Linked DNA regions of Yarrowia lipolytica. The protein of the gene in region 2 interacts with the protein of the main gene of each other region in a pairwise test. Links are inferred from orthologs where the notes say so. Each region holds a gene or a part of one and is shown on either strand. Other genes may lie near its edges. The genes, in order: YALI1_F24079g, YALI1_D16981g, YALI1_E04060g and YALI1_C10860g.

The links.
Region 1: the proteins of YALI1_D16981g (region 2) and YALI1_F24079g interact in binary tests that used the Saccharomyces cerevisiae proteins (3 or more experiments, as listed by UniProt). The link is inferred for Yarrowia lipolytica from reciprocal best matches to the Saccharomyces cerevisiae genes RVS167 and GYP5.
Region 3: the proteins of YALI1_D16981g (region 2) and YALI1_E04060g interact in binary tests that used the Saccharomyces cerevisiae proteins (3 or more experiments, as listed by UniProt). The link is inferred for Yarrowia lipolytica from reciprocal best matches to the Saccharomyces cerevisiae genes RVS167 and ERT1.
Region 4: the proteins of YALI1_D16981g (region 2) and YALI1_C10860g interact in binary tests that used the Saccharomyces cerevisiae proteins (3 or more experiments, as listed by UniProt). The link is inferred for Yarrowia lipolytica from reciprocal best matches to the Saccharomyces cerevisiae genes RVS167 and RVS161.

Annotation. Positions count from the first base shown.
Region 1 is NC_090775.1:2,402,911-2,410,858, forward strand, and holds YALI1_F24079g (uncharacterized protein), read right to left. Parts: upstream 5,176-7,948; coding exon 5,167-5,175; intron 5,068-5,166; coding exon 2,986-5,067; downstream 1-2,985. Other genes in the region: YALI1_F24031g (uncharacterized protein), read left to right, coding at 268-2,247; YALI1_F24099g (uncharacterized protein), read right to left, coding at 5,877-7,070. UniProt on the Saccharomyces cerevisiae protein: GTPase-activating protein which accelerates the GTP hydrolysis rate of YPT1 and SEC4. Involved in ER to Golgi trafficking and polarized exocytosis.
Region 2 is NC_090773.1:1,694,354-1,701,781, forward strand, and holds YALI1_D16981g (uncharacterized protein), read right to left. Parts: upstream 3,819-7,428; coding exon 2,565-3,818; downstream 1-2,564. Other genes in the region: YALI1_D16959g (uncharacterized protein), read right to left, coding at 1,427-1,606, 1,664-1,702; YALI1_D16990g (uncharacterized protein), read left to right, coding at 4,660-5,145; YALI1_D16997g (uncharacterized protein), read left to right, coding at 5,390-6,124; YALI1_D17011g (uncharacterized protein), read left to right, coding at 6,758-6,803, 6,860-7,242. UniProt on the Saccharomyces cerevisiae protein: Component of a cytoskeletal structure that is required for the formation of endocytic vesicles at the plasma membrane level.
Region 3 is NC_090774.1:400,451-408,008, reverse strand, and holds YALI1_E04060g (uncharacterized protein), read left to right. Parts: upstream 1-1,979; coding exon 1,980-3,659; downstream 3,660-7,558. Other genes in the region: YALI1_E04033g (uncharacterized protein), read right to left, coding at 3,826-4,091, 4,477-4,654; YALI1_E04023g (uncharacterized protein), read left to right, coding at 5,636-6,694; YALI1_E04007g (uncharacterized protein), read right to left, coding at 6,828-7,229. UniProt on the Saccharomyces cerevisiae protein: Transcription factor which regulates nonfermentable carbon utilization. Activator of gluconeogenetic genes like PCK1. Involved in restriction of Ty1 transposition.
Region 4 is NC_090772.1:1,083,560-1,090,313, reverse strand, and holds YALI1_C10860g (uncharacterized protein), read left to right. Parts: upstream 1-4,288; coding exon 4,289-5,080; downstream 5,081-6,754. UniProt on the Saccharomyces cerevisiae protein: Component of a cytoskeletal structure that is required for the formation of endocytic vesicles at the plasma membrane level.

The DNA.
Region 1 (7,948 bases), on a different chromosome or scaffold from region 2:
AAGAGACCCACTGCAACGGACACGTATTATCTTCCTACCACAGATGGAGTAGTCCTCGAGCAGATCATTAGAGTTGCGAGTAGGTAGAGTTGGCCGGCTTCCTTATTTTGGAGGGTAAGTCTTGTCTGGTTGAGACTTCGGGCCTACTTTGCATGCAGTTGCCGGGTCTCGTAGCTGCAGCTGGTTATTCCGTTGCTATGTTTCTGACAACTATATATAGATGGCGATCTCTCTCTCTAGAATGGCATACTCGATACGTCGTTCGCCATGTCTTCCTATCCATCCGAGAAGGGCGGTACCGAGGGGATCGACAGGGTCCCCAGCGAGACTAACGACGCTTCAGACAACACTTCCGATAACAACGGTCTCCATGAGAAGCCCTCCAACGAGCACGCCGAAGGGCTACCTCCTGGGAACGCTCTGAACGCTGATCTCGACCCCGAAAACCCGCTGTCTCGATACACCCGCGATGAGCTGCTGGAAATCGCGTCTGGGTTTGCTAAGGAAAACGGAATGGGCGACAAGGAGGACATTTTCCGAAAGGGCGCTCTAGTGGCCCAAGACCCGGCCAACTTTGACAACATTGACATTCTCGACGACAATGACCGATACTGGCTGAGACGAGAAATCACCCACAAGTGGGACCACCCCATGAAGGTCTACTACATTGTCATCTGCTGCTCTTTGGCTGCGGCCGTCCAGGGTATGGACGAGACTGTCATCAACGGAGCCAACATCATCTTCCCTGCTCAGTTTGGCATCAAGGAGGAGGCCGGTGTGGTGTCTCAGAAGACCTGGCTTCTTGGTCTGGTCAACTCGGCCCCCTACCTCTGTTGTGCCGTGGTTTCCTGTTGGCTCACCGACCCCATTAATAGACTGCTGGGCCGAAAATGGACCATTTTCTGGACCTGTTTCTGGTCTGGAGCTACGTGCTTCTGGTCCGGTTTCGTCAACAACTGGTGGCACCTGTTCATTGCCCGATTCTTCCTTGGATTCGGTATTGGACCCAAGTCTGCCACTGTTCCCGTCTACGCCGCCGAATGCGCTCCCCCCACCATTCGAGGAGCCATGGTCATGATGTGGCAGATGTGGACCGCCTTTGGAATCATGATGGGATACGTCATGGACCTGGCCTTCTACTATGTGCCTGATCACGGCATTGAGGGTCTCAACTGGCGTCTGATGCTGGGCTCTGCTCTGATCCCTGCCCTGCTCGTCTGTGTCCAGGTCATTTGGTGTCCCGAGTCTCCTAGATGGCACCTTGCTCGAGGAGAAATCTCCAAGGCCTACGAGTGCATGCGAGTCATTCGAAACTCGGAAGTCCAGGCCGCTCGCGACCTGTTTTACGCACACGTGCTGCTGCTTGAAGAGGAGGAGCTGAAGCGCGGCAAGAACCGATTTTTCGAGCTCTTTACCGTGCCTCGAAACCGACGAGCTTCCTGGGCCTCCTTCATCGTCATGTTCATGCAGCAGTTCTGCGGTATTAACGTGATTGCCTACTACTCGTCCAACATTTTCATGGAGTCCGGTTTCGGCGAAATCCAGGCTCTTCTTGCCTCCTTTGGTTTCGGCGCCATCAACTTTGTGTTTGCACTTCCAGCTGTTTACACCATTGATACGTTTGGTCGACGAGCGCTTCTGTTAGTTACCTTCCCGCTCATGGCCATCTTCTTGCTATTTGCAGGCTTTTGTTTCTGGATCGACCAGGACGACCCCACCAACTCCCCAGCTCGAGTCGGTTGTATTGCTCTGGGTATTTATCTCTTCTCAGCCGTCTACTCTTGCGGAGAGGGTCCAGTTCCCTTCACCTACTCTGCCGAGGCCTTCCCTCTCTACATTCGAGATCTAGGTATGTCCTTTGCTACTGCCACCTGTTGGCTCTTCAACTTTGTGCTGGCTGTCACCTGGCCTTCTCTTCTAGCTGCCTTCACTCCACAGGGAGCCTTTGGATGGTACGCTGCCTGGAACGTGGTTGGTTTCTTCCTCGTGCTCTGTTTCTTGCCTGAAACCAAGAACCTGACTCTTGAGGAGCTGGACAAGGTCTTTGGTGTGCCCACTCGAGTGCACATGAAGTACCAGTTCAACGCTTTCAAGGTGAATATCCAGCGACACCTCTTCCGACAGGACATTCCCAAGCCCCCTCCTCTCTACGCCCACGAGGTTGGAGTTGGCGGCACTTCTCACTACCAGCACAAGCCCCACCACACCGCCAACCTCACTCCCCTTCACACGGCGGAGCTTGCTTAAATTATTCTGTGTTACTCATTTAGTTAATTGTATTCATTTTACCGGCAAGTCCAAGTACTGTGCTGTGCTTATAGACGTCCGTTTGTATCGTATGGCATAGTCGTATCTTGGTCAGTGATCAGTAGCAATATGCAGCTCAAACTCTTGGGGGGTAGAGAAGTCCAGAGGACAGTGAGGACACTTCATTCGAGGATGCTTGGGACGTGTGGACTGGCGAGGAGACATTCGGGAGAGATGACGCGCAACATACGACTCCCCAGACCTATATAAATACACACCCACACATACACAAACAAAAGGAGCTACTGCTGGTAGCCCCTTGCTAGGTCAGCTGCATGGTATGTACTGTACCCCACATTTTGTTGATATGCGCATCTTTTGGCGGGATGGTGTTTAATCTCAGATTTTAGCCTTGTGATGTCACAGGCACGTTAGATTGCCAACTAATACAAGCCGTAAACAAAGAAAAGACCGCGTTCATGGAATCGACTAGCTACAAGTAGTTGCTCATGTAAACACATGTAGCAAGCAGGAGCCCAAGAAGGGACTCCTAAGAGGAGACAGATCCCTCAATTGAGGGCATCGAGTGTTCGCATACCTGTATACTGTTGTCCATGTGCGTTGGGCGGTAGCAGTACAACACAATCAGGCACATGTAGCTAACTACTTGTACTAGTATATCACATCCTTGCACTTGCCTTTTAAATATAATATTGCTTGGTTATGTTACGTAGCTAGCTATTCCTGGGGCATGGCATCCAAAAGCTTGCGCATGTCGCCCCATTTGGATTTGAGATTGGTGTGCTGGGCATCAAGCTCGCCATGCTTTCCCCGAATCTCGTCGAGCTCCTGCTTCATCTCCGTCATTTGCGACTGCAGCTGCTCATTCTCAGCAACCAGACGCTCGTTGTCCTGTCTGAGATCCATCAGAGCCTCAAGATCCTCGTCACCAGTGATTCGTCTCATCTCGCTCACCTGCATGTTCAGAGTCTCATTCTCGTCTTGCAGAGATGCAAGCTTGACCTTGCCCTGTACCATTTCGTTAGCAACCTCAATATGCTCCTTCTCGAGAGCCACCAGAGTCGACTCGATTCGTCGCACCTGCAGAGTCAGTTGACCGTTGGCAAGTCGCAGAGCCTCAACCTCCTCCAATCGCTCCCGCTCAAGACGGTTGATCTCGAGATACTCCTCCTGGTACTTGTGTAGCAACAGAGGGTGTATTTTCACGTCCATGGCATCCCGCACAAACTCGTTGACTCGGAACACATCTCCAGCCCCCTCTCTATAGACGTCGAAAATAGACTCCTTGAGGAAGGGCAGCAGATGGTCGAATTTGAGAGCCAAAATTGTGTCGGCGTTCTTCCGGATCAAAGCCACTCCAAATTTGAGAATGGCCTCGATACCCTCGGTCATGATGATGTCAAAGATTCGTAGCACCATTGATAGAGGGAACTTGTATGCAAACAGCGTAAGGAACCACTGAGAGGCGTACATGGACGACTTGACTCCCTGGCGGGTCAAATGGATATGCACAGACGGGACCTGGTCTTCCAACAGCCTGTCAAACTGGTACAGCTTCAGATGCAGTCCGGGCATTTCCTGCAGGAACATTGTTCTGAGCTCGTAGTCCTTGAGCAGCCGCACTAGCAGGCAGAAAGCGTCCACCTCGTTGAGGGTCAGCAGCAGAGGGGTCGTGACAAACGCCATGCCCTGTGTGTATCCCACCTCGGGGTCAAACAGACTGTATGCCTTGATGACGTTGTATAGAGAGTCGGGAGAGGTCTCCATGACAAACGACGTTCGAGACAGATCTCGTCGGATGGCCTTCTCGTGGGGAGTGCTCTCCTTGAGGATTTCAGTGTAGAAGTCTTGCAGAGCAGCGTTCTTAGAGCTTGTGATAATCTGCCAGATGATAGACCGTAATTCTGTGGGGAATCCGGCGCTAATAGCCTCCTTGAGCTGTTTAGGGTGCTCCTTAGCCACGGTTGCGTAGTCCTCAATGACCCGACTCCAAAAGTCCCAGTCAATGAAGGGATTTTCCAGCGACTCCTTCTGTCGCAACTGTCGGAAGTCCTCCTGCAGTAGCTCGCCAGCCTGCAACACCGCCTGTCGCTCCCGTTCCTCCTTTTCACTCAGGCTGTCCTGGTTCTGTTGCATTCGGCTGTACATGAGACCGTAGCCCTCGGCCACAATCTTCTCATCGACCTTGGCGGGCTGGGCGTTGGCACGGTGGCTGTTGGCCAGTGCCGTGATGTTGTCCTCGCTCTTGAGACTGGTCTGGCTCTTGTTGCCCAGGAACCACGAGAAGGCTGACCGCTTTCGTGGTGGCAGACTGGGAGCTCCCTGCCGAGGAGGAAGTGTGGGGGGAGTTTCTCCTCGAGCAGAGGCTGCTCCACCGTCGCCGTGGGTGGCGGGCCGATGGGGTAGCGGAGGAGGAGGAGCCGATGATACGGGTGAGGGGGTCTGGTCATATGTGGCATCGGGGAAAGTGCCAGGTGTTAGCGATTCTCCGTCGGAGTTGAGAACGTTAGCAGAGGGCGACGTGGCCGAGGGCGTGGTGGTGGAGTCCTCATCTGCCCCCGCAGCTCCAGGGAAAGATCCAGGTGTCACTTTCAGTGACGTGGGCGAAGTTGGCTTGGGAGTGGCGGGAAGTTCATCGTCGTCGGCTTTGGCAGTGCCAATGGAGATGGTCGATGTGTTTCCAGCAACTTCTTCGGCTGCTGCACTAGTAGGGGCATCCTCTGAGCCCAAAAGAACATCTTCAGTGTCCTCGTATCTGTGGTCGTCTTCAGATTCCGTTTCGGATACAAGTTCAGGTTTCTGGGTTAGTGTGTGAAGTCAGAGGCTCGGTGGCGAGAGGCGGACCTTCGGGGGCGTGCGCAATTGCGTTGGCTGCGCCTGTTTGTGTTCCTTACTCACTTCACTCATGGTCGGGGGGTGGTGTGCGGTGTGCTCCGTCTTTGTAGTGAGGTTGATGGTACCTCCTGCATGGTCACGCTGGACAGTGTGAGTCCCGTTGCCTGAGGGATTACCCAAACCTTAATTTATTGTCTCAGGTGCGGTGATGGTGGTATCCTATGTACCAGCCGGTGAAGTTCGGAGATGGAGTCCCAAACTGAACAGACTATAGTTGCCCAGACCATGGCAAGGGTGTTAAGTCCGAGTGCGACTAATTGAATTGGTCGGAAATTGATTTATTTCGCGTGTCGAAGATAAAGGCGGTGTACTTGTAATTGCTTGCTGTTAAACCAGAGGTTCAGGTACAAGTTCAGGGACCTTGTTTGGTGATACTTGCTTAAAAAAAAAAACTCGTGATTCCAATCGCTCACTAATGACACACCAGACGTGTGATTTGTGGCAATGGGTCGGTGACATAAAGTGCTAAATTATCTTGGACCAAAAAGACGGTACCCACATTAGCTCCAGTTAATTTCTGTACAGTCTTTTACATTCAGATACCTGAATGGCGCACAGTATGTTCCGAGTGTGAAGCTGCGGAGATAAGTTAATACGGTCCATCAGCGATAGAAGAACTGTATGTACTGTATGTACTGTACCGGTGATGACAGTATATGGCTGAGACTACTGCACTACAGTATCGATTAAATCATTCGTAATCCTTTCATTAGTTAATAAATACTGACAATCTCAACAGAAGAGTCCATGTGAGTGTTCTCCTGGGAGCTTTCATTGCTCAGAGAGTAAGAAGAAGCACTGGACGGGGACTCGGACAGCGAGGGAGGTGTCGAACACAGGTCCGAAACAGAAATGGCCTCAGTTCGAGCCTGCACAGCAGGCTGCAGACGAGAGCCCTCCAGAAACTCGTTCCAGTTGGTTTCCACGACGCTGGCAGACATGAGCGACTCGGAAGAAGAGTCACTGGACTCCTCCTCGGTGATGACTCCTCGGGTCACGCCAATGTCCTTGAGCATAATGTTGACCTTTTCAGCATCAGCATTAGGAAAGTGAACACGAACGTTGTTTTTGTTGACAGTTACGGGCAGCTCTCCAAGAGAGGCGCACACTGTCTTGATGTCTTTGAGAAGCACCTTGGTCTCCTGGACAAAGGCCTGCAAGTCTCGCTCCAGTTGGTCCAGGGATTCTGTGGTCAGCTGTTCCGCCTCCAGAGAGAGCTGGGGAGCAAAGTTGAAGTCCACAAATGTGCCTGTGGAAGTAGGCTCCAGACAGGCGACCCAGGAAGAAGACTGGAAGAGGGACTCTTCCTCGGTGACAGACTCAACCTCGACGGGAAGAAAATATCGGGGGAAGTACTCCTGGGCAGCGGAGCACAGATCTAGCTCCCGCACTCTCAGCTGGGAGGTGACCTCCACGATGCTCTTTCCTCCAAAGGCCGTCTTTTGTAGCTTATGGATGCCCTTACAGGGCATGGCCATTGTAGCGTACAATCTTCGGCCGAAGTTGCATGTAGTATCTTTGCGTTCGAACGCCGAACTAAAGGCTCTTCGAATCGCGTAGCCTGCCAGGGGGTAGGTGATTCGCCTTCGGCAGCCCGGTGCTCGCTGGTAGTTGTAGCCGTTCTCGAATACACGGCTAATGTGACGCGCACAATTGTTTGAGCTGAAGTGTCGGGTGTGCATTCGACGGGCATGTTGGCGATGTTTGCTGAACATGTCAAACTTCTGACGGAACGTCAATGGACGGCCAGCCCGGGCATAGGACAGCACCTCACGATGTGCCTGGAGTCGGGCCTCACATCTCAGTGAGATGTTGAAAGCCAGGCTCTCGTACGTCTCGTGGACGGTGCGGGAAAAGTCCCGGGTGACGTCGCGAGTAAATCGGACGAGATTCTTGAAAAATGGCATGGCCAACAGACTGTGGTGCCGTTATCCACCTATGGCACGGTGTACAGGGTGGTTGGGTTTATCTGTAAATATTTCTTGTCGCTTAATATGCGGCCGGGTAACCTGAGCTGGAGTAGATGTGTTAAGCTCTTCGGGACATCGGAGCCGACTTTTCCGACCGCCCGAAACACGACGAAATCTCGTCTTTTTTCCTCGCTCTCGGGCTACTCCGCATTTCCATGTCATTTGCATCGACCAGCGACTTTCCTCTCTCTCATGTACTCTCCAGCTATGGCAGTGCAGCTGGTCCAAGCGGGGACTTGAGAAACCCAAATGTTGGTGGCAAAACAAAACATGCGTCATCGCTTGTTGAAAAGGGTTTCATTCCGCAGGTACTGTACTGTATGATGTACCTGGTGCATGTGAAGAGGATGGGAAAGGGCGTACGAGTACGATGGGGTGTCGACAAGTCGGGGGCCGTGTAGGTGGAGTAATGTAGGATGTCTGTTACACGTACTTGTGCAAGTACACTTTCAACACGTCATTAGTGTGCTCAAGTACCTGTACTTGTATTTGTACTTGTACTGTCGCCATTTTCCAGCCAGGGGGGGTATGCTCAGTCAACTTAGCCATCGTTGCGTGTGGAATAGTTGTACAAGTACAAGTACAAGTAACGGTATACCCACAAAGTTGATCCATGAACGCCCAGATTTCCCCGAAACGAGACACTTGCACATGGACAACACGGAAACACCCCGATACTTGTAGCTCTCCAGCTCTCTCTCCCTCGCGTTTCAGGAACCTCGCGATAGAGGACCTTTGATCAACTAAAAGTCTAACTGGAGCTGTGGTCATAACAGGATCGGAAGCAGCGACCGCTGAGGTCGGAGCCCATGAAA
Region 2 (7,428 bases):
ATTACCCTTGAACAGACCAGACCAGAACGCCACGAGGGACGCTACAGCACTTACATAAGCCACTTTTCTGTCCGCTGTGGAGTGTGTGCTGTGATGATTGCCGTTTTTAGCCCCAGGTCTAATTACTGCACGTCCTTTTTTTTTTTGTCTTTTTTTTCTTCTTCTTCTTTTAACCCTGCGACAGAACAGAGCCTTCTGTTATGCTTTGTTTGCAGTTTTTATAAATAGACCGGCCCGAGCCTAACAAACGCCGCTCTAGGGGCAAATCAAAGGGCCAAAAAGTGGCATAAACACCGACATTGCGCGCGACACGGTTGCCGCGGCCGGTCTGCGGTTTTGTCCGCCGTTTCGGCCCCTGTCGTCGCGTCGTGGCGTGCCCCAAACTGTCATTCTCGCCACTGCACTGCATCCACGTCAAAATAAAAATGCACACTCCAGACATGCTAGCCCAACCTAAAGAGGAAAGTCCATACTGCGCCTCCCGAAGCTCTCGAAGCTCGGGAAATACCGCCCCGGATCTCGCGGAAATTGGCACCGTTGGATTGCTGACACGCACACGAACCCAACGCAGCTACTTTTGTGCCGATCCGAGCTCTGGAGCTCTTTTGGGAAAGGCGCCCCGAACAACCAACTCCCATTCCTCTGACCCGCACACAGCCTTCCCCCCTCAGACACAAGAAGGGGTACGGAGAGGACCCTTCAAACCCCCTCCCATGCCCATTGCTCCTCGCCCCCCGAGAAGAGCCACTTGTGCAACTCCACATTCGTTCGTCCCGTAATAACTAAACGTTAGTGTTTAGGTTGACCTGCTTAGCCTCAATTTTCAATTTTATAGCAACACTAACAAGCGGAGAAGGACAGCTGTGGGGGCATCTTGGGAGGAGTTGCGGGGACGGACGGGATATTGTTGTGGTCCTGTGACTGAGCTGAATTGATTGCCGCTTTCTGATCGCCTTTCCGACTGCTACATCTCGACATGGCCGCGTTTGGAGCAGATTTACAACCCAGAACCATGTGTATACATCATCCTGATCGGGTATACGACGGTCCTAAACAAGCCCAGAGAAGCAACTGTGGAATGACTGTCACGTGGGTGGCGAAATCATCGGTATCTTTGACTCCACATGCCCGACTTATTGTTTGGGGAAGATGTTGGTATGGTACTTGTACGGTACTTGTGCGGTATTGTGCCGACTTGCATGGTATTGTGCCGACTTGCACGGTATTGTACCGACTTGCTGTATCGTGCAAGTACGCTGACCCAACACACACTCGGGTCGTATTCCTCCATTTGAGCCCTTGTATCACCTCTGTCAATCCTCGTGTCAATCTCTTGGTTCACCTGTCTCAAAATGTTTCTATTTATACCCCTAATTGTGATGATCTATGAATATGTCTCACGCTTGTTCCGAAGCGAGCGAAGCAGTTATGAAGCGCTAAAAAAAGCAACGCCGACTCGAGACTGTTGGAGACGGAAAGACGACGCATTAAGACAGTTAATTAAAGCGGCTGCGCTGCTCCACCGGCTGCACAAGGGGCTGAGAGACACGGGGGTCGGTGGCAGCTGAGCAGCAATCTCGGTGAAACATGACCCGATGATGTAGAACTTGTCGAAGCAGTGGGGATCGGTGTATTCGAAGAAAGACGGTTACCTTTCGTGAACATCATGAACGTACTTGTAGCGGAGCCTCAGACGTGCCATGGGGTGTTTTAGAGTATTTTAACTAATTATTCCGATTTTTTCCACAATCAAAATAAATCAGATAAATTGAAAAAAAATGGGAAAAAAATGAAAGAAAAAAAAACCCAAGATTGACAGAAAAACTGGACTGCTCAATCCATCACCTCAAACTCTTGTCCATGCTCCAACCCCACATCAAACCCACTCGTTCCACCAACCCAACGATCTTCTACGGAGGTGCATTATCTCTGCATGAGTGATGCGACTACATTCGTCCATCGTCAGATATCGTGGACACCGCCAGCAACTCCATAGTCACCTGGCAAGTCCCGAAAAGACATCCCTTGTCATTAATTTGTCTTGTCTTTTTGTTAGAAGGCATTATTTGTTACATGTACCTACACTATGTGCTCCAGTATGTAATTCTTGGAAAGGAGGGCAACTGGATGAGCATCCAGAAGAGTATACAAGTATATACGACCCGTGGACTCGCACAGACTTCATCATATCATTCGAGCAGTTCCATTTCTCGTTAAAATAGTCCCATACTTCCTAACATATCAACTACTTGTAGAATGGACACACCTTGAATCGACTTTCAATGTCATCATGTCTCAAGTGTGTTCTTGCTCGTGGTATCAGATCATTCTGTCATCTTCCTTGAGTCTGAAGCTGTTAGGGACATATCCATTCACTCTAGACACATACTTGTTCTAGAGCTCCATATCCTACCAACTCCTACACTACCAAAACCAATGCATACATATCTCATTACTATTAAATGCCCGTTCAAGTGCAGTTCCGTGATGGCGGTGAAATCATAATTCAGGCTCACCACCAAGGCCAGATCACAAACAACCTGGCTTCGCTTCGCTCGCTGCGGTTACGCATTCAACTGAACATAATTTCCAGGAAACACTCCCTGGTGTCCCCCGACAATACCCGTCCACCAACCGTTGGTGTCAGCGGTTCGCTGAACAATGGTGATGACCTGTCCGGCGGAAAACGACAGGTCGCCAGCAGCCTGCGCCTCGTAGTCGTACAGGGCGGTGCAGGTTTCAGCTGCGGGAGCGGCGGCTGCAGGAGCCCCGGGAGGCGTGTACACGGCCTTTTCGTTGGGGTAGCCGGTGGCGGTGTACGCGGCGGGAGCGGCAGCGGCAGCTGCAGCAGGGTCGGCGGCCTCCTCGCCTCCATAAGCGGGCGGCGCAGCACCGGCGACGGGGGCAGCTCCTGCAGCGGCCTCCTTATCCTTGTCCTTTGCAAACCGTCGCTTTGTCATTTCGAGCTTGGCACGGGCGTGTCCGACTCGGAACTGGGTGATGGAGAGCTGTTCAGTTCGCTCGGCAACGTCGCCCCGCTTGGCAGCAAAGGCGCCCTCGATGTCCTCGTTGGTGAGGTCAAAGTAGGGAATCTTCATTTCCTCCATGCGGATGTAGAGGGTGTAGAAGACGTTGAGCTGCATGTAGTAGAAGGACTGGAAGAGAGGAGCGATGAACTGGGCCTCCAGCTCAAACAGCTGCGGCAGCTCCTCCTTGAGCATGTCGTTGTAGTAGTCGTACTCCTGCTGGGCGATTTCGACGGCTGACTCGGCCGAGTACATCTTCTTCTCGTCGTTGACGCTTCGTTCCTTCTTATCCTGGTACTTTTTCAGCGAGTTGTTGTGTCGGTCGAGATCCAGCTGTTTGTGGGCACGCTTTGTGGCCATCTTTCGAATCGAGTTGATCACCTCCAGCAGCTCGTTGGCGGGGCCAATGATTCGCGAATCGATCATCTCCAGCTCGGGCTTGAGCGTTGCCTGCAGATCGTTGACCACCTCACGGTACTGCTCGCATGCACTGATACCTTCGGGGTTGCCCTCGGGAATGGCTCCGTTGGGGTCCGACAGCCGTCCAGAAATGGGCTTGTAGATCTCCTCAATCGCCTTGGAGAACTGGATCTGGTGCTCCAGCATGCCGTTGATCGCGTCAAAGTACTTTTTCGACTCCTCGTGCAGCTTCTTGGTCTCCTTCTCGAGCTCCTTGAACCGCCTCTCGGCGTCAATGTAGACCAGATCCTTGGTCTGCTCCCCAATATTGAACTTGGCCTTGAACGACTGAGGCGCTCGGGCGATGCCCTTGGTGATTCCTTTCATAGACATGGCGCAAACAGGTCACCACACGTGGCGTGGAGTGGGTGGGATAATGTAGTGTGTGTTGCTACTCACTGTGTTTAGACCAGCTTGCGTGACGCACCAACCTGTGCTCCAAATGTCTCAGCCGGGTAACCTTTGCGGAGGTGGTGAACCGGCACCGGTGGCAACAAAGCACACACAAAACGGCCCAAAACAAAGACGACAGATATCGTTGCTGTCGTCGCACGCGCCGCTTTTTTTTTTTGCTATTTTTTCTCCACCCAAAAAAAGCCCGCTATCGTCCTGCTAATGCTCTTAGTGTCGTGCTAGTGGTGGTGATGTACAGTATGTATGGTAAGATGACAGTTGGGTATCGTGCGTGCAAGTCGTATTGCGTCACAAGAGGAGACGAAACACCAAGCAGTGGTATCACGTGACGCCTTCCCGTCTGGGATATAAGTCGTCCAAATGCCGACTTTGAGTAGCCGCACGACTTGTATCACTCTCCGTCTATAGATACCGCTAGCTATCCGCTCCAGCATCATACTCCACCAGATAACAGCTTAATCAAACTCTGCAATTATACGTGAGACAGTGATGCCGCATGTAAGAATGAGTGCATGGCACGATGGCTGAGCGGAGCAAAGTGGGCCGGGTTTTTCGGCTTTTCGGCGACTAAAAAAGCCGGTGTTGCTGGTCCTGGTCATCAAGCACCGTTGACGGCTCCAACAATCGCCCTTGGTTGCCCCCAAGACTCCAACGGGGGACCATCAGGGCCCCACTTATGCACCGCATCACCTTGTCTTAAACAAGACATGTGCCACAATCGCATCGGAATGAAGCGACGAGTAATGGTCTGAGAAGGAAAATGAAAATACCGAAAAGATGGATACATTCTGCTCGTTATTTTCCTCAATTTTCTCCATTTTTTCCTATTTTTCCCCGTCTTTCCACACGCGTTTTTCAGTCCCCATCGCTTATCATTGACATTCTCAGCCCCATCCTAAACACTAATCTTCCGCCCTATTGGTCTTGGCAACGGACAAGAGATACAAGTGTAGGGTGGATATTTGCTTCGTTTTTTGCAAGTGGTTTCGTGGCCGGTTTTGGGTGGTTTTGTGGGCGTTTGTGGCGTTTGTGGCGTTTGTGGGTTGTTGTGTTTTTTTTTTTTTTTTTTTTTTTTTTTTTTTTTTTTTTTTTTTTTTTTTTTTTTTTAATCTATTTTCATTTATTTTATGTTCATTTATTTAATTTTATTTGTCAGTTTTTTCTTCAATGTTTTATGGTCTTCATCGATTTTGCACACTACTCCGCACATTCTTACAATTCAACCAATCAGACACGTCCATACTGATACTGAGCTCATGTCGACGCGTCCGACACCAAACACCGCCCCCAAAAACTCACCAAAACCCCCAGTATGTCTCGCAAAACTTTCCCTTAACTAATACCTCAATTATGGTTCCACTAGCACCAATTATCGAGACATATATGGAGGGATGTTTCCGAAACGACCATTTTTGAGATAACGTGACCGTAAGGAGTTTGGAGAATATCCGTTAGTTTTTGCCGAATTTTCTCATACTAATATTGTATTTATGTGGTTTTTATTGATTTATTGGGTATTTTGTTTTTTATTGAACCGCTCTCAAACATACACTGTAATTAGAAGCAGCACAAAATACACAGAAATCATCATACAGAACTCCAAGACTCCCACAAATCCCAGAAAATCTCAAAAAATAACTATACACCAGAAACAGCCGGAAACCACCTCCGAAACAACCACAAAACCAACCCGAAACCCCGACACTACCTGCTTCTACCCTAACCCCAGTGATACATATGCAAAGTATGGTGGGGTGGGATGCATTTGGATCATCATCATGGGAGTCAGCGATGGAGGTGGTACAAGTACTGCGAAAGATGACCTGTTGAGCGGCAATGATGTATACGATGGTTACGATCGATACGACAACCTATACGACGAACAATTCGACTCCCAATACGACAATGCCAACGATGATATACCTATGGACGTGTTAATCCCTCTACTCATCTCTCTATGGGGGCTTATGTCTTTGTGTCTGTGTATCTACACACACAAGTTCATCTGGCGGTCTCCTGCCGTGTCCAAGTTGTGCATGTATGTGGTTTTGTGTTCGCTGGTCATGTTTTTTGCCACCATCATTGCTTTCAAGCCTGCCCATGAAAACGACGGCTGGTACTATGGCCCGGACAGCAATTGGAGGAGGTTCAATCGGAGGAGTTATGAGCGATGGAGGAGGGACAATGGCGATGTTGAATTGACGTGGGGGGCTTACAAGGGGTGAGGGGGCTGTCGATGATGGCAATGGGAAGAGCGGTCGATGAGGCGAGTGAGAAGCGTTCTACGAAAGTTTTCCGGAGCTATAAACTGAGGGTACTGCCTGAGCACTTACAATCTGATATCTTTTCATTGTTCTAAAGTCTCATTTCTACAAGTGCTCGGCCACCTCTTGTCATGAGCCATAGGGACCTCGTGATATCAGATGATGTTTTCAATCACCATTGACTTGCTGATTCAATGCTGGGTTTTCCGCTTTTGAATTACGGTACGGGAGCACAGTACGGAGTATCAATTGCTTTGTTAGTCTGCAGTGGTGGTTCAGATATCTCAATCGGGGCTCCAGTTCGCAGGAATCACAATAGGTGCTCCTACTCATTCAGTCTCATGTATGGAGCTTACAACGTTTCTTCAACATCCAACCCCACTTCTGGTGGTTCTATGGCCTTGGGGAGAAGTCCCTGCTGTCAACTGACTTGAACCGTTGTCTCTTCTCTCAAACATGCTTCAGGTGCAAATGGCAATCTAGAGCACACTGGTCGTTGTGACTCTGCTCGAGCTGGCTGGATATACTATTCTAGAGAGTGATACAGTCATGACTTTGTTCAGAAGCAAGATGGGTCCATGAATCCATGAGTCCATGACCACCGCAATGCACCGACCGCTTCCAAGAAACAGACTTCTGTGTTATCGCTGGTCTTTCGGTGTATTACCAGATCGTTCTGTACTCCTTCCAATCCAGCCTGTCTGCCGATAACCGATGCCTGCTGCGTGACGTGTACGCCCTGGCGTGCAACCTGGAAGCTCGCAGACGTGCTTCAGAGAACCTTTCCCCGTCAACCTTTTGAAGGTCGGCCAAGAAGAACCACGAGTCTGGTACTCAAGGCAGTCAGTCCAACAACGGTGGCTCGTACGATTACCATTACGGCTCTGGTTACAGCATCTTTACTACCCAACTCAAGTAGTTACGTGATTGTCCAGTATTTCATTACGTCTGGCCTTCAAAGAATCTCTACTTCCAGTACTGTACTGTACTTGTACAAGTATCTACAGTATGGGTATCATAAAAGTCCAAGTACATGTGAGTACAAACGCGATTATAGAAGGTCCGTGGAACTTCTTTAGAATACGAGTACTTGTACAAGCAGTTATATGTTGCTATACCCATCCAAAATACATCTCACAAGTGTGTGTACTTGTAACTACAAGTATAATGAACATTGCTAAGACCCAAACGAACAGTTTGATCATAACATCAGTTATCAATCTACAAGTTCTTATGTACAAGTACTTGCAGTTGTATAGGTGCTG
Region 3 (7,558 bases), on a different chromosome or scaffold from region 2:
CCCAGAAACGCTGTCGGCTCTCACTCGGAGTGACTCACTCGTCCAAGTTGTATACGAGAAACGCTTCTACCCATTGCAAGTGTGCTTTGTTTGAGTCAGACCCAGCAGATCAATTCACATCTCAAGTTGGGACATCGTACAGTATCGTGCGTACTTGTACGGTACATACTCACTCACTGGTACTACAATGTATCGTATAGTGGTGTCCGAGAAGTACGGTAGCTACTTGTAGAATGGTATTTACAGTACCGGGGTACAAAACCTGCCACGATGATAGAACGAGTACTGGCACTGTTTGATTATGTAGCTTTATTAAGTAACTGGAGCGCTAAATGGACAGGCGTAAAACTACTATGACACATATGATACTTGAACTTCTCTAATCTCATACCACAAAGCGTACCGTACCGGTACTCATACCAAATACACATACCCTACCCGTATTGTACATTATTCAAGGGCAGTTGTGTACGACTCATTGAATCAGACATCGCACTGACCTTCATTTACGTCATAGTGGACCTTGCTACGATACTGTGACTCTACGTCGCCGTACAAAGCTTCACGGACCCAAAGGTTCGTGTTTGAAAGTCTTGTGGAAGTGTTGAAAGCGTGTCAGCGTGCCCCGATCAATAGCAACATGTCTGTTTTGTCTCTGTTTGCCTCTGTCCGGAGCCTTGACCGAGGCTTCCTACTTGTAATTAATTGCACATGGTGTTCGACCGCAAGCGCGTAGCAAGAGGCGAATCATACCCTCAATTGAGCACTACGGGTAGTGTAGTTTAAACGGCCAAAGTGTCGGCTTCAGCTATCTTAAAGATTCTGAACAGATATATCCCCTGACGCCTCCCATCCCCCCTCAGACGTTTCGATTCTCACGAGTTGCACGTGAACAAAGCACGGTGGAGCTCGGGAGAAGTAGGAGCCTCGGAATGTATCGGAAATAACATGTGCGTTTTTCAGTTGCCCCTCTAGAGGCCGAGGCTAAAGATGCCTCCAGAATGCATTGTTCGGGAGGTACCGGGACATTGAAAAATCAGTCATCCGAGTTTAAACGGAGTTTCACGTTGGGGAGCTCAGAGCATCCATTTTTTGCTGGTAGCGTGTAGAGAGGGGCGTTAATGCGAGGTTTGGTCATAGGGGAGTCTTTTTGTTGGCTTTCAAACCGGTCCAAAAGTGACTCGCTCTCGGGATTTTCACCCAGATGGCACAACATTTGGGGTCGTCCGCCGCACCCCACATCTCATAGAATTTCGTGTAGGCATAAACTTTTGCTCCGTTTAGCAGAAGCAAACAGTGCTGCTGGTGTTGACCATGTGGTGAAGTTGAGGTCTGAAATAGCACAGTCGTTTTGTTATCACTCCAGAGTAGTTATAATCAGCTTTGCCCACCTTCTTCGACCCACTAAGCCACTCAACATTCACGTCTACTGACTCGGCTTCCCCACTAGTCATGAACCATATTCCGTAGCGTTGAGCTTAAAGCCATACGCAGGTCAAGTAAGTAGAAATGACGAAACCAAGGCCGAGTAAGAAAAAACAAAACAGAGCAGGGGGTTGCACCGTTGGGAAAAGCTGGTACGTGTGTAAGTCTGTGAAATATTAGGGCTCTGTATCTGATGTATTAAAGCTTCGGCTCCTGACTATCTCTTGAAGCATGTAACTAGAACACTCCCATCGCCACTTATCAATCCTTTCGACCCCAAGCTATATGCACTGCACCCGCATCTCTGCGGCACTAGCTTAAACAGCCCGGTTTCCGGTTGTCAGAACCCATTTCTCTAGAACTTCTCATATTCCAGACTTGTCCAGCCAAGGAGAGACCCACGCTATTATCTTGCGACCGACGCGTCAGCTCCCTGAAAACAACCTACCACGCTCCTTCTACAAGCTCTAGCTCCCAAAGACTTGTACGCATCGCAGTCATACATTCCAACCGACCATTCTCAGCTGAAAACAGATTGCTCCAACCCAACTCCAATGGAGAAACCCGTGGTGATTTCGCAACGGACGGGCAAGCCGAAGCGAAGAAAGGCCCACCGAGCGTGTATCCACTGCCAACGAACCCATCTGACATGCGATAACAACCGACCCTGTGAGAGATGTGTGGCCCGAGGATTCGCAGACACCTGTGTGGACGGTGTGCGTAAGAAACTAAAGTATCTGGACGACAAGGAGGATAATAAGCCCAGTAAAGGCCTGTCACCTGCCCCTGGTGTGAACGTACAACCAAAACTGAGCCCAGCAACTCGAAGTGCTCGCTCTAGCTCTGCAGGCTTCCCTGATACGAAGGGGAACATGCAGCAACAACATATGGGTAATATGCCCGTCCCCAATACCCCTCAGAATGGACATCCGAACCTAGGAACACCTGGCATGGCCCACACAAACTTGCAGGGACCACAGCGACAGGGTGCCCAACAACCACAGGGAGGCCAGTCAAGTACTCCGTCACAACTTCCTGCAGACTACCTTATACACCAGCAGCTTCTGGCGACGGAAATCAACCAATTAGGAGACCTGGGAAGAACTGGAGAAGGTGACTTTTCGTCAGACTGGTTCTCGGATCTGCAATTATCGGGACACTCGTTCCAGTCCGTGGCTACTAATATGGAGTATTCCATCCTGTCAAACATGGTGTACTCTTCTGGTCAACCAAACTCCGCAGTAAGCAACTCTTTGTTGCTCGGAAACAACTCTCAGTCTCCAAACACTCACTCGCCACATAACCAGGACCAGCCTACGCCCCAGGCAGCTACTCCCTCAGCTAAGATCAAACAACTCATTGAGTCTAACGGTTTGTCGGCAAAGGATCTTAACCAATACCCACTGGCTGGAGAGTTCGTCAATGATACCTTCTTAACTGTGCCTGAAATTGTTGCGTTTAACGAAACTAGGCGAAATGTGAAGGACAGCGAGCTGACTACTGACGAGAAGTTGAGGCCTCTTTCGTTTGCTGTAGCAGCTGGCCAGCCGCAAAACACCAACGGCAATGGAAACGGGAGTGAAGCTCCAGACTCGCCAAGCAAGTCCATCTTCTCTTCAGGTGCTCTGGAAGCTGTCTACTCCAACTTACCTGACTACACCGACCCTATCCAGGTCTATACTAACATCACAAAGCCATTCAGCTACACTCCTGGATACCATGGACTCATTTCTTATCTGAAAGGCCGTTTCAACAAACAGCAGCTCGTCCAGATGACTAAGTATATGGCTGAATACAGACCCTCTTTTATTGCCTGTACCAACTCGCTGAAAGAGGAGGACCTGGTGTTCATGGAACAATGCTTCCAGCGAGCCCTCCTAGAGTATCAAAAGTTTATTTCGTTTTCTGGAACCCCCACTCTTGTCTGGAGACGTACTGGTCAACTAGCTGCTGTTGGAAAAGAGTTCTGTCAGCTCTCGGGTTGGTCTGAACAGCGTCTCATTGGTCAGCAGACCTTCATCGTAGAGCTGCTGGACGACAATTCTGTCCTCGAGTACTTTGAGCTCTTTTCTCGAATCGCTTTTGGAGACTCAAGAGGAGCTACTATGGCCGACTGTACACTACTTACACCGACCGGTGCTAAAATCAAAACATCCAGTATCTGGACCCTAAAACGGGATGTCTTTGGCAACCCCATGATGATTGTTGGCAACTTCCTGCCCATCTTGAGTTGATATTCCAACGAGATACTTCGGCAACAGGTTGCTTAATTTATATATATAAGCTATTTATTTCACTGTTATGATCTATGTAAAACAATACGACACTTTCAAAGACATTGTCACCAGTACAAGTAGCTACGGATGGGAATCGCTCAAACATAAAAAATATATTAGGTATCTACTGGGCCAGAATGGACTTGACGAAGTCAACGTAGTTGACGTTGCCGTCTCGAGTAACGTTGACTCCCTTAAGGAGCTCATCAACCTCGGAATCAGACATCTTCTCGCCCAGCGAGGTAAGGATGTATCGCATCTCGCCGACACCCACGAACCCAGTGGAGTCCTTGTCGAACACCTGGAATCCCCGGATGTAATCCTCGGGCTCACCGAGAGACTTGAAACCGCTTGGTCGGTTGACGATCTTGGAGAAGGTCTCGTAGTCGACTGTGTTAGTGCTGATGGAGGGGGTGGATTTATGCTGGTAGAGGTGTGAAAGAGCGAATCTAGGCATACCCCATCTCCCCTGTCGTCATAGAGACTTATGTGATCGCTTCGAGGTTACCGTTTAACGACCTTAATGAAGGAATCAATCACCGGAACATCCCTTGACGGGCAAGTTTCTGTCACGAGAGATCCAAACACGTTGTGATCACGATATAAGTGATACGGGTTCCTCGAATCTATACCCCAACACGTTGAAACCGCCCAATTTATCGCAGTTGCATTTCGCTGGACCGTGACATGTTTCGGTTCATCGTCTCACACACCACACCGTGTTCCATTATCGGCCCATCACCTAGATGCTTGAAAATATCTGTAGTATACTCACACTCAGCGGGAATGGTCTGCTTCAGATCATCAATCTCAGCGAGGGTGGGGTTCTGGCCCACAGCTCTGAGAAGATCACCGAGAGCTTCAGCAGGAATCTTGCCGGTGCCCTTCTTGTCGAACAGGGAAAAGGCGTCCTTGAAAGATTTGGAGTTTTGCGACTTTGTTAGTGGTGCCATGATGATTTGAAAGAGTGCAACAAGTCTCTCATTTCTGAACTCACCATTTGTAATATTTTTGTGTGTAGTTTGTGTTGATGCGTTCTGTCCCGTCTCCTATTCCCAATGTACACAAACATAAACAAACCGCAAATAAACTTGACCTAACCCTAAGATTCAAGCTTTGGACACGTGAGTGCGTGTGTCTATCGTGTTACTGAACCCTTCGTAGAGTGAGTCCTATAGAGAGATTTGAAAATGTACATTGGTATTCAGACGCTGTCACGAGTGGTTGCCTCCATTATTCGGGTTGAATCCACCATCAAACACGAGTTGTATTTTTAGCGCGGATCTCTTGTCGCCATGGAGACTGGCCTGCACAGCCGAGAGCATGAATTTTTACCATTTATTACCGGTAGCTACCCTTTACTGTAGGCAGGGGTGTGTCGTTATGGTGCTGTAGGTTCATGGGCTGTGAAGAGATAATACAATTGGGAATAGGTCTCAGCAAATGACATCTTGATACGAATCCCGTAAAACAGCCTAATGATAAAAAATAGGAGTCAAGGGGTGAACTCACCAAGACTGTAGCTTCAATCATTCTCGGCCCTGTTAGCCCCTTTTCTTGATCAACTGACTGATCTGTGTACTTGTACGATACTTGGGCTGTACATAATCACGTTAATTAGACAGGCTACTGTACGATACAAGAGACACAGCCGATGTATGTGAGAGGCGCTGTATATAATAACGGTCTCTCTTTCCAGCGATGGTCTGTGAGATGTCAGTCAGTCACATGGTGCCGTCCTAATTTTTCGTTTTTGAGTAGCTCATTATCTTGCCGGATTCAGTCATCTTGTCTGCTACAATACAAAAGCACATTCGTAAAATTACTACAAGTACAAGTAGTAGATCCCCTTCTCAATTTCGTGAGCAGGTCTATAAGCGCATTCATGCATAATCGCACCTTAATTATTTTTTTTTCTCCTCCGTGAACACTAAATGGAGGACCACAGCAACAAGTGCACTATAACGTCTGCAATCACCGATCTGCCACCATGTGCCATCCAGATTCAACCTGATGATGCATCTATCATCTTTGTGGCCACTTACAAGCTGGAGGACGACCGAAGTCGAAATGGTACGGTCGATGTCTACAAGCTTGAAGACGACCAGCTGAAACTGCAGCAGAGCTGCCGAACAAACTCATCAATCTTGGACCTCAAGATTAGCCCCTTCGACCACTCTTTCATCTGCACCAGTCAAAGTACCGGAAACATCATCACATGGAGGTGGGACGGTTCTGAGCTGACTCAGCAGAAGTCCTACCAGCTCTTTGATGAGTCGCTGCTTGTGCTCTCTATCACGTTCAGTCCCACTTTCAATGATCTCATGGTAGCCACTCTAACTTCCGGTGAGGTTGTTCTCATTCGTATCTCAGACTCCGAGCTCAAGATCGACCGCTCGCTGCATGAGCACTCTTTGGAAGCTTGGATTTCGTCTTTTGGAGGAGACGAGTTCCCCAACTTGGTCATGTCTGGTGGAGACGATGCTGCCCTCATGATTTCGGATCTTCGGACACCTCTGTATGAAGACGGTGAACAAGAACTGGACTACAATAACGGCGTTACCGATACGATATCCAACAACCGAATTCACCAAGCAGGAGTGACCTCAATTCTGCCTTCCTGGAGAAAGTCTCATGGCGCTCAGATCTGGACAGGCTCGTATGATGATACTCTGGCTTGCCTTGACCTCCGAAAGACAGGCATGGTTGCTGTTAACACCCGATCAGTAGTTTCGAGACAGGAACTTGGCGGTGGAGTCTGGAGACTGCTTCCCAACCCCAAGAACGTCGATACTGTACTCACTTGTTGTATGTACAACGGTGCCTTTATCCTTGATGCTGCAGGTGCAACTGAGGAGGAACCTAGCTCAATCGTCAAGTACTACAAGGCAGGCCACGATAGTATGGTATATGGAGGAGATTGGTCTCCCAATGGCGATTACGTTGCCACTTGTAGTTTCTACGATAAGCAGCTGCGAATCTGGAAGCCTTAAGACCTCGGATTCTGATTCATCCATTTGCGCCTCTCTTATGAGACACAATGTTACAACTAGACCAAACAAATACTTCACAGTAGAATAGATAATATGTACATGATTTAAAACTTGGGGTTGGTGGAGTGTGTGTTTACTTGAAGGACACATTGGGCTCGACCTTGACGGCACCCTGTTCCTCAAACTTCTTCAGCATCTGTTCCTTGTTGTATTCCATGGTTCGCTTCTGCTTGAAGTAATCGATCCAGCTGGCGATACAGTCAGCCTCGTACTGCTTCTCCTCCTTAGGGCACTTGGCGGTGGCCAGTTCGCTGTCCTTGATAGCGTCCACGATGTTATGCTTGTCGAGACAAGCGAAGAACTTGTCTCGAGAGTCCCAGCAGATCTGTCGAGTCTTCTTCTTGGTGAGGTCCTTATCTCCTCCGGCGGGGCCCACAGAGGCGGTTTCTTCGGTCTTGGTAAAGAGTCCCATTGTGATGTATGTGTGATGTGAATGTGCGTTTGAATCGACTGCTAAAACTGTGGATATATGCATGGAGGCTTGGTTTAAAATTCAGTCACGTGACTAGTTATAAGAACAGCGCAAAGAGTTGAATGTGTGGGACATACTTAGGTATGTATGTTTGTTTATTTACGCTGAAATTTTCAGCGCCGCTCTCATTATGTTGCCGTTGCTATAAATTCATCTATGTTGCTCTTAAACTTGCTGTACTCGTAATTCTGTCTTAGTCAGACAACATAGGGTATAGTATGTACTTCTATGGCTCTTGACTCGAAGTAGTCCTGGTAAGATAGTATGCGGATCAAAATCATTTTATATCAGTAATTTTACAATCAATTAAATTGTCTATGCTATCGGCCGCT
Region 4 (6,754 bases), on a different chromosome or scaffold from region 2:
TACGGGCGGAAGAAGATGTTGAGAGACGGCTGCCAAACGCCGTTGAGGACTGGGTGCAGCCGCTACCGCCTGTTTTTGGTCTTGTTGTTCTGATCTTGTCCTTCTTGACCCGGATATGTGTAGCAAACAAGAGGAGACGGGGCCGTTTTTTTTGGGGCTCCGCTGTGAAACATTGCAACCGCATAAAATGTGGGCCAGGTTAACCAGTTACGTGAAGACGAGAGTCTTAGTCGCTTCCTGTTGCAAGAAGTGAGCTGGATGCGTAGTTTGGGGAGAATATTATGACAAATCACTATTTTGATCCTAATATAGAGTATCAGATGAGATAATTGGCGGTTAAAACCAACTTTATCTCGAAATCTGGGCTTCTCTATGTCATTATATGTGAAGTATACTGCCCTTCTTCTGCTGACCTAGAGTAACCACCACAGAACACCCTGCCCGGTACAAGAGACCTCCCACAAAGTCCCCTTGAGTACCACTCCAACCCTCCAGTCGCTCTTATTCTCCACCCGGAGTCGTGTTATCTCTAACTTGGTTCATTATGGACTTCCGGCTCTAGTGATTCCTTCTGCATGCCGAAGTCAACTAATGTCAAGTAAAGTTCAACTAAAATAAGAAACCCATAAAGCAGGGACTTATCTGGAAAATTACGCATGGCTCGACCAGAAGTTGATATTATCGGTTTCAAAGCTTCAAAGAGTTTCAATGTGACCCTGACATATGTTTATGTCATATAACACAGCCTCTTCAATCCACCTTTTTGTCACCTCCATTAGCCGAACTAGAAGCTAGAAGTTTTTGATCCGAGATGGGTCATCTTTTGTAGACATACGCAGATCTAGTCAAATACCGATCTGATTTAAAAAATAATTCCTCCATGGACTCCTTCTGGTAGGAAGTCGTCATTTGAAGCCAATCCGTCTTGTTCGATACTCAACTACATTGCTCATGACGGGTAAAACAATTGAAACACTGCCAGGACCCTAAGGATCTGCTAGACCAGCATCAGCATCACCTCAAGGTGCAGGGTCATAGTTCAGACTAGGCAATAGCATGTAGTATGACGTCGTCGTTCGGCTGATGTTACGTGACTGCAAGATATCTGACACCTGCGACTCCTGTAGGTACTGTAAGGTCTTGACGTCTCCTTGATGACAGACCTTCTTGCTGTCTTAGATTTATGACATGTAACCTACTGTAACAGAATATTTGTAAACCTGCCTGGTCTTTGTTCAGGCTGACATCTCCCGGGCAGCAACAGTCCACCACCCTAGCCCCCACTAGCTCGATTGTTAGACTACCGGGCGCGCCTAGGGTGATAGTTGCATTATGAGGGTCGGAGAAGTCGGCGACCTGTCACGTGAAATTGGATACGCTTCAGCTTCTCAGCGTAGTATTGGTTTGCCTGTGTTTGAAGTACTGGAGGAGTGAAGTTTGGGGTATGTAGAGAGGTTTGAATGCTGGAGATCAATGAAGGGTTCAACATGGTGACATAATCGGCTCTTAAGTCTTTTATTATGATATCATTAGTACAAATTCATACATATTAGATTCACACCTTCATCTGTAGGCTACAGTCACGTATCTGTAGTGCACTTGCGCCCGCACTAGCATAGGACCATCTCTAACATGTCTCCGCTTGTCCACTTGTTACTTCTCTTGCAAAACCAGTCGCCTTCTATTTGCGCAACTTGTAATCTCGGCTTCCGCTCTTTGTCACCTCGTAAACCTGACCCATCCCCTTGGTTGCCTCGATCTAGCGTTTCTAAAGTTCTGCCCCCGTTGCACCGCGAAAAATCGCCCTTTTAGCGTGTTGGATCGAAATACTACCCTGAGGAAGGGGTTTGGAGTGGAAGCTGAGATTCGAAAGATTGGAAACTGCCTACTTGCACCTCTATTATAGGCTTCAAACATGCTATGATGGTCTGTTAGTGATTCGCGATCCAGATGTGTAGACATGTGGCTGTTTGCGTGACCCAATTCCTGTCTTTCAGATCACTTTGATCAACTGTGCCTGCCATTGAGTCCACATCTACGACCCTGGATAGACTATCCGTGCGTGCCGCCCACATTGACAAGCTGCTAGCGTGTTTTTAGCGGAGGATGAGGCTCAGTTAGTGGAGAAGGCTAATCGGGGAAAGATCACGCGTGTGTCCGAGGACGAGAAAGTCACGTTGGAGGCTATCAAAGATGTTCCCTAGATCATTTCATCTCGACTAATTCAATCTCCGAACTCGGATTTAGGATAGCTCTTCTGAATCCAAAGTTAGACCCATTCTCGCAAGTCTGTCTCCGAACAATCTGTCCCTTACCGCTAGTTTCAAACTAGTGAGAAATAGTGGGAATCTTAGCGGGAGCAAAACGCACTTATTTAGAGTGCTCCACTTAGTGGGTCTAGGCAGTCTAGAGTTAGCTGCCTTGGTTGTTACAACTCAGCTCCACATACACATATTGCAGGGTTGTAGCATGATATGGAGACGACTTGGACCCAGGGACGCAATGATATATCACGCGATGCATATAAAAGGAAGCTAGTGGGATGTGACAGATCACCTGATCTGACGTTTTCTTGTGACTCCCTGTCCTCCAATGCACATGAGAGCTCCAGGTGCTAAAAATCGTTCCTAGTCTAGTTAGCCGCCGTATGTCTACTCACAGCAGACTAAGTAAGCTACATCGTTGTAGTTACTTTGTATATGCAGAAAAAAATAGGCCGAACTGAGTTGACCAACTAAAGTAGCGTGGAGTTTACCAATTGTGGGGATAAAGAGAAACAGACAACGGGAGCCGCTAGAGCCCTTTTGTGACGATGAAGAGCCCAAAGGAGAATCAGGGTCGCTTGTTATTGACTCACGTGATGCTCTTCTGAAACCGGAACTCTCAAAAAGAATGAGCAGAACAGGGGGCAGGTGCAAGACAGACAAACCGGCATGAGTTTCCAAGATACGACCTCAGGGGTCAACAAGGCTGTGCCCTGTGGGTCCAATTTCCTACGGCCTGAAATAGTGACTCCATTGTGTTAGTGTCATAAGACAATCAGTCTACCCGGCAGCACAGTTATGTACAATATAAGGGTCTGGAGAGCCACATGGGGAAGCACTAGGCTTGAGTAGCTGAGCTAACCATCTGGGGTTGCGAGACTAAGTAAATGAACGTCCAATGATCCGATAATGCAGGCTTGTACTGGAGATGTGGGTGTTTTTACCGAGCTGGGTCGTAGTGGTTGAATATGAGCCGAGGTGTTTCAAGCAAGGCCAAGGGTACAAGCGGGTCATATTGGTCAGGGACGGAGAAAGTCGACCTAGAATCTGTCTAGAACTTGTTAGTACAGTACCTCTATACTTCTTTTCATCTTCTCCACTTTTGACAGCATGTATATGTTTTTGAGGGCTCCTTTGAAGGGCTCCACCATCCCTGGCGTCGTGTACAAGTAAAAGTACAAGTATCTAATCTAAAGGAGAACCTTTTAAGACCATTTTGGTTTCCCTCATCTCATTTATGTCGAAATGGATCACTTTTCAACTCTCTCACAAATTATCTCGAAATCAGTCTATACACAGTCCATTGAGCGCTCATACTTGTACTTGTAACAGGACTGTCTGGAGACACGAAACCACCGAAACCACAAAAGTCGCCAGGAATGGGTTCCAATATTGATTACTAAGCCAACATATCGTCCTCCGAAACCCCACTTGCTTCTTGGCGACTCTTAGATCAGTATTGCTCAGCCCTTAGTTTCATCCTCCTGACTGTAGAAGATAGCACTCCCAAAACGCCTCCCAAAAATACTTCTGCAAACTCTAAAAGTCAGCTGGTGGGTAGTTATCTCGAGCTGCAGACATGCCCCAAGGAAGCAGAGACCACCAGACGATTCAGAAAATGCACTATATTTTAATGGTACACTAACTATTATACTCTCTCACCCAAAAACAAGTCGAAATCTCCACCTCCTCCTCCTGTCACTCATTTCAAATTGCCACCAATTTAGATTCCCCTAACCCTACGAACATAAGCCAGATGGACTCCTTGGCTTGTTGATCCCCAGTCATAATCTGTGATTGGAGAAAGATTTTGCTTAGGTAACTGCGTCATGTGATTAATCACGTGATTTAGAGTCGTTAGTGGGAAAAATCGACGTCTCAAGCTCCATTTTCGCATCTGAAAAGTGCACGTCCAGTGCGCTCATATGCTGCGCTACCCCTACCCTAATTAACTCAGTCCCACCTTATCTCCAAACCACTCACCACTACACTCGGCATACACGACACTAACAACCAACACTACCATGAGCTGGAATGGATTCAAAAAGGCGATGAACCGGGCGGGCACGTCGGTGATGATGAAGACGGGCCACGTGGAGAAGACGGTGGACCGGGAGTTCGAGACCGAGGAGCGTCGATATCGAACCATGGAGACGGCGTCCACCAAGCTGAACAAGGAGGCCAAGGGCTTTCTGGACTCGCTGCGAGCCATGACGTCGTCGCAGACGCGAATCGCAGAGACCATTGATGCGTTTTACGGCGACGCTGGCACCCGGGACGGCATTTCCAAGTACTACTTGCAGGCTGTCCAGGAACTGGATGCCGAGACCGTCAAGGCTCTGGATGGCCCCTACCGAGAGACGGTGCTGGATCCCATCACGCGATTTTGTGCTTACTTCACTGACATTAACGAGGCCATCAAAAAGCGAAACCACAAGCTGATGGACTACGATGCTCTGAGACACAAGACCAAGAAGTTGATTGAAAAGCCCAGCAACGATGCCGCGCGTCTTCCTCAGGCAGAGAAGGAAGAGCAGATGGCCAAGGAAATGTACTCTCAGATCAACAACCAGCTGATTGAGGAGCTGCCCCAGCTGATCGACCTGCGGGTTCCTTACCTGGATCCCTCGTTCGAGGCTCTCGTCAAGATCCAGCTGCGATTCTGTACAGAGTCGTATACCCGTCTGGCGCAGGTGCAGCAGTATCTGGACGCCAGCAGTCGAGAGGAATACGCTAACGGCCAGTTGGACGCCAAGGTGGAGGATCTACTGCAGAACATGAGAGAGTTGAGCATTACTAGTTTGGGAACTAAATAGGCTCATCGAATTCATACAATGAATGAGCGGGCCTATTGAGCAAACTCATCTGCTTGTAGTGAGTGTGCCATGGTCTGGTAGGCTGTTGGCCGGCAAGACGGTTTTCGCTAACCCATGCGTTTGGAAGCGCAGAGTGGACGAGTATGTATAATGAATATATGATAAGCATGAAGTCGAAGGGATAGCGTGTTTGACCGAGAGAGTGGTATAGACGAGGACTACTGGTTGTTCCTTTGCTCGTCTTGCTGTGGTTGTTATTAGCAGTGTTGAAAGGTTGATCAGCTGCTACTAACAAGCCATTTGCAACTTTCATGTTGTTCACAAGGAGACCAAGAAAGACTCACAGTCGAACGTTGGTGTTGTTCGAATCGATGTCTCTCTTTGTTGTGCTTTTAACAGTCTTTGGACAATGTTTAGCGTATCTATCTTTGGAGCCAGGATTGAAGATAAGAGCGGCACACAATAGAACTAACTAGAAGACTATAACCAGAAGATACGGTCCACGAGTGGTCTCTTGGTCATTCAAGTCTTGTAAAAATTCCTCATTCGAACTTTTAGCTGTAATCTAAGCTCTTTCTGGCCCCACTTACCACTATCAAGCCCATGATAAGCTAGAGAATTTACTACAAGTACAGAACTGGTACAGCGTAATGTAGTAAACTGTTAATCTAGTAAATCTTCGGTTAACCAAATATCGAGGACAATATTAGCCCAGAGTGTGTGAAACAGCTAGCCTGGTTCTTGTATAGGAACGAATAACTAGGCCAAGGACGTATAGCAATTTTAGCGTGGACCAAATTACCACATGGTGCGGTTCTGAGACTGCAGTATGTCACAAAGACTTGTCAATTGAAGAACTGGACTCTTCTTTAGTTTCTAGCTACCTTCTAGAAGTATAGATTGTTCCATGGAGGGTCTCTAGTCTCTTCGTCTTAGTAGTTATTGAGCTGTATGTACAGCAACAAGACCAGTGTTCTGAGAGGTCTTGGTAGAGGAAGAGTTGACATTACCATTTAGTCATGTGTTAGGGACATTTGTGCACAGTCCTACTGACAGCTATACTCCTCAAAATCTCTCCCCACACCATGCTCTCTTTTCAATACTTCCTGTTTAACTTTCGTATAGCGCCGGGAGCCAAGATCTACTGTGCTGATAGAGCAGGCTACTGCAACGGAGGGGAAGTAACCTGAACACACGTGTTTCAAAATCACCTGATTATCTCGAGTTCCACGGAAGTTTTTTGCAAAGACGCTCAACTTTGGGAGAGACTAGTACCGGTACGAGAAGGTCTATAGCCCACACCACTGGGCTAGATTGCTCGCGGACTGAAAGGGAAGAGAGAGAGTGGGCGACACAAGGGAGTTTTTTAAACTGAGGTTAACGCTCGTTTTCAACATTGTTTTGTACTTTCATACTTACTAAGCCATAATACGGAGTGATGGTGAGGATTCATGTCAGTGTCTGGTTGGGCTTGCTTTCTTTAGACGTGTTTCACAAGTAGGGATGGTGCTCCAGGGAAGTCTCATGAGCAATGAGGTCATTTTGTTGGCCAATGAAACTTCTCCAAACTCCCACGGAGGTTTCATGTTCGTCCATCTATGCTCGGTTTATCATATTCACCGAGACTACGCACCACACTGACACATGTAGATAGCCCGATCGGAGAGCACTGAC